2 linked regions of the Canis lupus familiaris genome follow. The protein of the gene in region 1 purifies or fractionates together with the protein of each later gene. This does not show direct contact. Links are inferred from orthologs where the notes say so. Each region holds a gene or a part of one and is shown on either strand. Other genes may lie near its edges. The genes, in order: SNRPA and SRPK2.

Region 1 (3,574 bases):
AGAGAGGCAGAGACACAGGCAGAGGGAGAAGCAGGCTCCATGCACCGGGAGCCTGATGTGGGATTCAATCCCTGGTCTCCAGGATCGCGCCCTGGGCCAAAGGCAGGCGCCAAACAGCTGCGCCACCCAGGGATCCCCATTCTTTCTTTTAAATTTTTTTTTTAATTTTTTTATTTATTTATGATAGTCACAGAGAGAGAGAGAGAGAGAGAGAGAAAGGCAGAGACACAGGCAGAGGGAGGAGATTGCAAACTTCAACTCAAGTGTCTCAAGCCCAGGCTACCACTCCTTCTCTTCTTCCAATGAGTTCCTGAGCACTCAGTTCCCTTTCTTTTCTTCCTGAAGTATCTAGCATGGATTCTGGGGACTGTTGCTAGGATGGAACAATTTTTGTGAAGATTCAAAAAAGACAAAAAACCTCTAACATTCCATTATGTTTGAAAAAAAAACATATGAATCTACAAAGTGAATGGCATGCCCTTAAAGGTGGCATCCTTATTTAGTACAAAACCTGTCCAAGATTACATGGCAGCATGGGTTTTAATTTCCTGCTGAATGCTGACTGAGACAAAACAGAAATTTTTCCAAAAGGATTAAATAAAGATGCCTGAGGCTTAGAGAAAGTTACTACACTATTCTGTGTTTCCCCAAAGTTGCAAAGCCCAACACGCTAACAGGTCCAAATACCCAGAATGTTCCGATATGCAAGAAAACGCAGCATAGAAGACAAAAAATGAAAAATAAAAACGACAATTGGTTGTGAAAAACCAAACCTCAAAAAAACACTTTAATTCCGGCCTAACAGCGCCAGGTGCAATGTCTGGGGACAGACTCTGGGTACAATGCTGTGTGGCGACCACTCACTCACACACGGCTCTGAGAAGGCCCCTGAGGGGGACTTACCTTCAGGGGGCTGAGCCAAGGGGGGAAGGGGTGGCCCCAGAGCAGGGGGCAGGGGCAGGCAGGGGGAAAAAGGTGCTACTTCTTGGCAAAAGAGATCTTCATGGCATTGTTCTGGGTGATCTTGAAGCCCTGCAGTGCATCGCGAGCGGCCCCTGCCTGTACCTCATTGTCAAACTCCACAAAGGCAATGTCGTGCCGCCCGGGGACCAGTCGTACCTCCTTGAAGCCAGGGAACCTGGGGAGAAGGGAAGAGACCTCAGGGATCCAGACTTGGCATCTTCCCCGAATGTTCTGGCATCTGAAGTGTAGAAGCCACCAGGATGCTGCTAAACATCCACTACAATGCATAGTAAGAGAGGATCATCCAGGCCCAAGTGTATACAGTCCTAAGCTGTAGAGCCCGGACACAAACGAGTACACACGATGTAAACATGTCATTTAAGGAAATATTTTAACGTGAACACCTATGCAGCCATAAGTTAGATCAAGGAATAGGACACTGCCCCCATGTCCCTCCCTGATCATACCCACCACCGGGTTCCAGAAATAAACACTACCCTGACTTTTTATGATCTGCTGTTTCTCTCATTTCCGCTCCCTCTTCCCCAACTTCCTTCCCCATTAGGCAACCATCCTCATGTTTGCTGGGTACACTTTCTTCTGCACCTATTCTTACGGAGTCTGTATTGTTTCACAGAAAGATATGCGTATGATACTGTATTTTCCCTCTTACGGAGTTTCTCAAAATTCCCTCCCAGCACTGTTACAGAGAACCATCGGCACTGCACTGTTCCCCAACTGCCACAGAGCAGGCCACAGTGAGCAGCCCTTCTGACCTCTGGCTTCTTCCCCTGGGGCTGCCTCCAACTCCCTACCACCCAGAGGAATCATGTCCATCCACACCCCTTGGGACTTCTGTTAACAATGGCTTTAGGAGGGGTTAAGCTCAGCCAGTTAAGCATCTGCCTTCGCCTCAGGTCATGATCCCAGGGTCCTGGGATCCAGTCCTGCATTAGGCTCCCTGCTCAGTGGGGAGTCTGTTTCTTCCTCTCCCTCACTCTCTGCCATTCCCCCAACTTGTGCTCTCTAGCTTTCTCTGGCTATCAAATAAATAATTAAATAAAATCTTAAAAAAAAAAAAAAAAAAAACTTTTAGAAGACCAGAAGGCAGAGCCACCAGGTGAGCACACAACCCTTCCTTCACTGAACAGTGAATGTGTTACCCTGTGGAATAGCCATAGTGGTGTACACCCCGTCACCAGCACTGGGGTTGCCAACATCCCTAACCTCCTACTGTGCAGTCTGAGTGTGCCGATTCTGACCAGCCTAGCCAGTGCTCGATGCCACTGCACTGTTGTTTTATACACACCTGGCATTTTTCTGATTTAGAGGCTGGAAAGAAGAGGCCCAGGGACCCCTGCACCTCCCACGAAGTCAAGGAAGGTCCAATGCTCCCTTGGCCATGCTATGTCTGAGGCTTGCCACTGCCACACCTCCTCAGGCTGTGAGCCTCAGCCTCCACCCTTTATGCCTCCAAGCCACTGTTCTGCCTGCAAATCCTAAGCAGACTCAAGACTCCACCAGCAGAACTCCAAGGCCTGTCTCCACGGTGCCAACTCCTGGGCCATCACCCTCTGGACCCTGCCCAGCTACTGGCCCCACTTACTGGTTGAAAAGCATGGACAGCATGAGCTCATTGGTCTCCTCAGGCAGGTTGGTGAGGAATAAGATGTGATTTGGTGGATTTTCTGAAAGCTGCAAGGAAGTGACAGAGCCTGTGAGTCTAGTGGGAGAACCTACTGCCTTCCTATTTTCTACCCCTGTCCCTTCGTAAGTTCCTTCTGGCCCCTTCACCTGACACGCCTGATGTTGCCTGTCTACACCACCTTGCACCCACCAGACTAAGAGCCATAGAGAACACTGCTGTTTTCATCAGATGCTGCACAGAAGTTCACTGAATCAAGCTGGGCTCTGGTCACTGCTCCAGCCTCACCCTGACCTTTTGAAGCTCCTCCGACATACATATAATCCCTCTCTGGCTCTAAAACAGCACCCCCACCCATCCCTTTCTATTCCCATGTTCTGACTGTTCATAGGAGACCCCAGGAGCAGTAGGTACTTACAGGCTGGGCTGGTGGCATCTGCCCCGGCATAAGCTGCTGTGGGGGCATAGCCCCTGGTGGGATTTGTCCAGGTGCCAGGCCTGGAGGCGGGATCATGCCAGGAGGCGGCATGTAGGGAGGCTGGCCTGGCATGTGATGCATGATGCGGGGGGCTTGAGTCATTGGGGGCATACCCTGCAGAGAGAGGGAGGACAGGGTTGAGTGGGGCACCCAGCAGACAGGAGGGATCGAGTCTGGTGTCAGCAGACAGAAGAGAGTGTCAGAAGACCCAGGGAGAGATTCAGACTTGCAAGGTGGAAAAAAAGGCACCCATGGAGACAAAGGTCATCCAAAAGAAAATGGATGGAGCAAAACAGACCCAACTCAGGCTCGAGGGAGACATCAAACCAGAAACTTAAAAATTTTTCTAACAAAGAAAAACTAATCAGTGTGGTCCAGCTCTGTTGACATAGAAGAAAGAAAACAACACTGGAAAAAATCGAATGCTAACAACAGTCAACAAAAAGAGCGAAAATAAACACTATAATGAGTATGCTGGAGTTTTACTT
Region 2 (4,245 bases), on another chromosome or scaffold:
ATCCCCACTGAACGCTGAGCCTGTGGGACTCAACATGGGGCTTGACATCCGGCTTGATCTCAGAACCCATGAGTTCATGATCTAAGCCAAAACCAAGAGTCTGACACTTAACCGCTTAACCAACTGGGTGATCAAGGCAACCTTTATTTTCTATTAAAAAAACATAGTCATCCTAGTAGGTGCAAAGGGGTGTCTCATTGTGGTTTTGCTTTGCATTTGTCTAAGGAAATTGAGCATCTTTCATGTACTTGTTGGCTATTTGTATATCTTTGGAGAAACGTGTATTCAAGTCCTTTACTCGTTTTGAACATAGACCACTTTTTTAAGTAGAAAAGAATAAAAGCTGGCCTTACTATAGAAAAATGATTAAATGTAACATCACGAATAATGAAACAAACTGACATCATTTCCTTTCTGTTGCAACATACTGAGATGGACACAATATCATCCATATAGCGTACTTGCCAAAATTATTTAACTTGACTTTAACAGGGAACAGATGACTACAAACTGAGGAACATCCTGCAGAACAGTGAATTGGATTCCTCAAAAGAAGTCAATGTTATAAAAGAGAGAGAAAAAAAAAAAAAACCCAACAACAACCAGGGATTATTCTAGACTAAAGGAGTGTAAAAAAGACATGGCAATTAAATGTAATGGACGATTCTTGATTGTATCCTGGATAGGAAAAAAGTCAGCTACAAGGGACATTTTGAAAATGTGAATATGGCCTCTGTATTAATATTAAATTTTCTTGGTATGATAATGGAATTCTGATTGCGTAGAATATCCTTGTTCTTGGTACTTATTGACATGTTAAGGGTAAAGAGTAACGATGCAAAAACTTCAATAATTCAGCAAAAACGAAACAAAGGAACTTCCATAGGCACACATACACACAAGGAAAGCAAATGTGATGAAATGTTAAAAATCGGTGCATATGGGTTAATACGGGTGTTCATTATATTTTTCTCGTAACTTCTCTGTAGGGTAGATCTTTTTGAAAATAAAAAGTTGAGAAAGTACTTAACTAGAGAGAACAAACTGATGGTTACCAGAGGGGAAGTGGGTGGGGATGGCTGAAGTAGGTGCCGGGGATTAAAGAGTCCACTCCCTCTGGGTGATTAAAATAAAAACTTAAAAAAAACATGTTGAGAAAGTAAAAGTTCCATCAAGTCTGAGCAGCGCTTTCAGTTCTTTGGTTTTAGCATCTTTAGGATCAGACTAGTTACTTTGGTCAGCTAAGAACACAGTCGTAGAACCAGAGAGAGTCCGCGGTGGGGCGGATATCTTTCCAAGACACTGTAATTACTTAAACAAACAAAGGAAGAGAGTGCAGTTGTCATTCGGACCCACTATCAGCTTGATTCCCATCTTTATCAGGCGGCATGATCCATGGAAAGGCTTTGGAGTCAGCTAGGCCTGAACTTGCACGGTCCCTCCGCAAACTGTTCAACTACTTTGGACGTCGTCGCCTCCTCGCTGTAAGACGTAGGCAACAACTGCTTGGTGCGATTGTTGTGTTAAATCGTCAGACGCTTGGTGTTTGGCGAGCTGGGCTTTAATTCAGGTGCAAAGAACCCAACAAAACAAAACAACGACTTCATCACGCTTTCCATGCCGTTTGCATCTTTTCCCTCATTACGCTCCAAGCCCGCAGTGGGGTTAGGTGAGGCGGAAGGAGGAGAGGACTTCCCCAAGGTCACACGCTCGTGCGGGTCCCAGGTGTCCCCGCTCCCGGCCCTGTGCCCTTTCCACAGCCGCCAGAGGGGAGCGGGCGGCGCTCATGGGGATGCAGGGATGTCGGGGAGCAAAGGGGGCGAAGAGGCCGCGCGAAGAGCGGTGGTGCGAGACCCGCGGGGGCGCCGGCCGAGGAGGGGCGCGCGGGGAGCGCGGAGAGGCGGGGGGCCCGGGCCGCGGTGCGTGGGGCGGAGGCCGGGCGGCCGCGGCCGCGGGGGCGGGGGGCCCCGGACGCGGGGGGCGGGGGGCGGGGGGCGGGGGCCGGGCGGCCGAGGGGCGGGGCCGGGGGCCGGGGCCGGGGCCGGGGCGCGGGGGGCGGAGGCCGGGCCGCAGGCTGCGCGGCCGGGGCAGGTGGGCGGGGGGCGGGGGGCGGGGCGGGGCCGGCGGGGGCGGGGCGGGGCGGGGGGCGGGGCCGGCGGGGCGGGTCTCGGCGGCCCCCCGCGGGGAGCAGCGGCAGCGGCGGCGGCGGCGGCGGCGGCGCAGGCGCGGTGGCCGCCTCCTCCCGGCTGGCGGAGCGAGTGGAGGAGGCTGCAGCCCGGCCCGGCTCGGCTCCCGCGTCGCCGCCGCCGCCGCCGCCGCCGAGCCCCCCGCCCCCGCTCGGCCGCGTCGGGATGAGCTCCCGGAAAGGTGAGTGGCCCGCGGCGAGCCCTCCTCCCCGCCGCGCGGCCCCTCCGGCCGCCGGCCCGACCGTTAATGGGTGTCTTCTCTTTCCCCAGTGCTGGCCATTCAGGCCCGAAAGCGGAGGCCGAAAAGAGAGAAACATCCGAAAAAGTGAGTCCGTGCCCCGCGCCCCCGGGCCCCCGCCCCCCCGCCCCCGCCCGGGCAGGGCAGCCCGCGGCCGCGCAGGGGAAAGTTGCGGGATCCCGGGGTCGGCGGGCTCGTCCCCCCCCCACCCCCCGGGGACGCGGGCGCTCGCCTCTGCGCCCCGGCGGGCGGCCCGGGGGGAGGGGCGGGCGGGCGGGCGGGGGAGGGCGCGTGCGGGCCCGCGGTGCCCGGCCGAGCACCCTGGACCCTCGGACCCCGGACCCGCTCCCGCTCCCCCGGCGGCCGCCCCTCCCTGCGCGCCGCCCGCCGGGGTCGCTGGCGTCCCCGCCCCGCCGCGCCGCGTGCGGGCGTGAGGCTGCTGCTCGGCTCGCACCTGGGCACCGGCGCCCGGGAGCCGTGGGCTCCGCGTCCTCCGCGTCCTCCGCGCGCTCCGCGTGCTCCGCGTGCTCCGTGGGCTCCGCGTCCTCCGCGTGCTCCGTGGGCTCCGCGTGCTCCGTGGGCTCCGCGCGTGTGTGCGCGCGCGTGGGGCCGGCCTCCTCTTCCCCCCCGGCTCCCCGCCTCCCGGCCTCTTTGCGGAAAGCCGGAGCCGGGTGTCCAGCGGCCGGCCCGGGGGTGCCTGGCGCCAGCCCAGCTCCGAGACCTGAGCGCGCCGGCGCCCGCCGGGTCTCCAGTCGAAACTTTGCGCTCGGGCCGAGCCGCGCTGCGCCCCCGCCGCCCCGGGAGCTGGCGGGAGGGGGTCCTGCTGGAGCCGTGCCAGCCCCCGCCCCGCCCCGCCCCGCCCCGCCCCGCCCCCCAGTCCGCGCGGACCCGAGGGGGAGCCTTTCCTGGAGAGCCGCTCGGAGACCGCGCAGCGCCCCCGCCCCTGGCTTTCGGCGTCTTTCGCTCCTGGATGCGTGGCTTCTCCCTTCCTGTGGAGCGAGACACACTCCGTGGCATTGGGGGTCTTGTAGGGAACGGCGGCCCGTGATCATCCTCAGGACCGGGTCTCGGGGGATCGCCCTGCGGCGTTCCTGGGCTTCCCCCTCCTCGGCGCCTTGGTCTCTTGCCTGCAGAATTTCCTGCCCTCCCTGAACACTGCCCTGAGGCCTCACCAGCGCGGTGCTGCTATCATGACAATTTTTCTGTTCACTCGAGATGGGATAGGGCTTGTAAAGCATTTTCAGGGTTTTCCAAAATGGGCATCTCGCTATAGTTAATGCCTTTTCTTGGAAGACAAAAAAAAAAAAAAAAAAGATTATATTAGAGTGACGGAAACATACTTATGAAGGAATTGAGGAACTGGTGGGTAAAAAAAAAAAATCTGATACTGGATTCTTAAAAGGTGAAAACGGGATGGACGCGGTAGTTGGAGATGCTTTACAAAATGACTTGGCCAGCTTTCAAGTCAGGGCCTTAAATTTGGGATTTCCTTTGAATGTCGGAAGATGAAGCCCGCGAGTAAGGAAGAACTGTAACGTTTAGGATCCTGAGTATTGGGTTTTAAAAACAACCTTAAATACAAAGCATTTATTTTCACATATTGCATTATGTTTAGAAATGTAAAAGGGAATTGGAAAAAAAGCGCGTCCTCGGTTTTGGGAATGGCTATGTGTGTGTATACACGTATGTAATGTGTATGTTGTATGTGGGCATGCGTGTAGAAAAGCAGTTTTAGTTAACTAAGTCAACACGTATTTCATATTTTCATGTTTCAGGGAATGACTATCCTAATGGCCAAGAGCCTTTTTTGGTCTGCTGCAG

The links.
Region 2: the proteins of SNRPA (region 1) and SRPK2 purify together in Homo sapiens (affinity purification with mass spectrometry; 4 studies listed by BioGRID and IntAct, with this or other methods). This does not show direct contact. The link is inferred for Canis lupus familiaris from reciprocal best matches to the Homo sapiens genes SNRPA and SRPK2.

The regions. Positions count from the first base shown.
Region 1 is NC_049222.1:113,801,462-113,805,035, forward strand, and holds the end of SNRPA (U1 small nuclear ribonucleoprotein A), read right to left. Parts: intron 3,201-3,574; coding exon 3,027-3,200; intron 2,659-3,026; coding exon 2,570-2,658; intron 1,139-2,569; coding exon 979-1,138; 3' UTR 754-978; downstream 1-753. UniProt on the Homo sapiens protein: Component of the spliceosomal U1 snRNP, which is essential for recognition of the pre-mRNA 5' splice-site and the subsequent assembly of the spliceosome. U1 snRNP is the first snRNP to interact with pre-mRNA.
Region 2 is NC_049239.1:15,286,930-15,291,174, forward strand, and holds the start of SRPK2 (SRSF protein kinase 2), read left to right. Parts: upstream 1-1,383; 5' UTR 1,384-1,388; coding exon 1,389-1,484; intron 1,485-1,771; exon of another isoform or gene 1,772-1,786; coding exon of another isoform or gene 1,787-1,919; intron 1,920-2,272; exon of another isoform or gene 2,273-2,351; coding exon of another isoform or gene 2,352-2,367; intron 2,368-2,456; coding exon 2,457-2,511; intron 2,512-4,199; coding exon 4,200-4,245. UniProt on the Homo sapiens protein: Serine/arginine-rich protein-specific kinase which specifically phosphorylates its substrates at serine residues located in regions rich in arginine/serine dipeptides, known as RS domains and is involved in the phosphorylation of SR splicing factors and the regulation of splicing.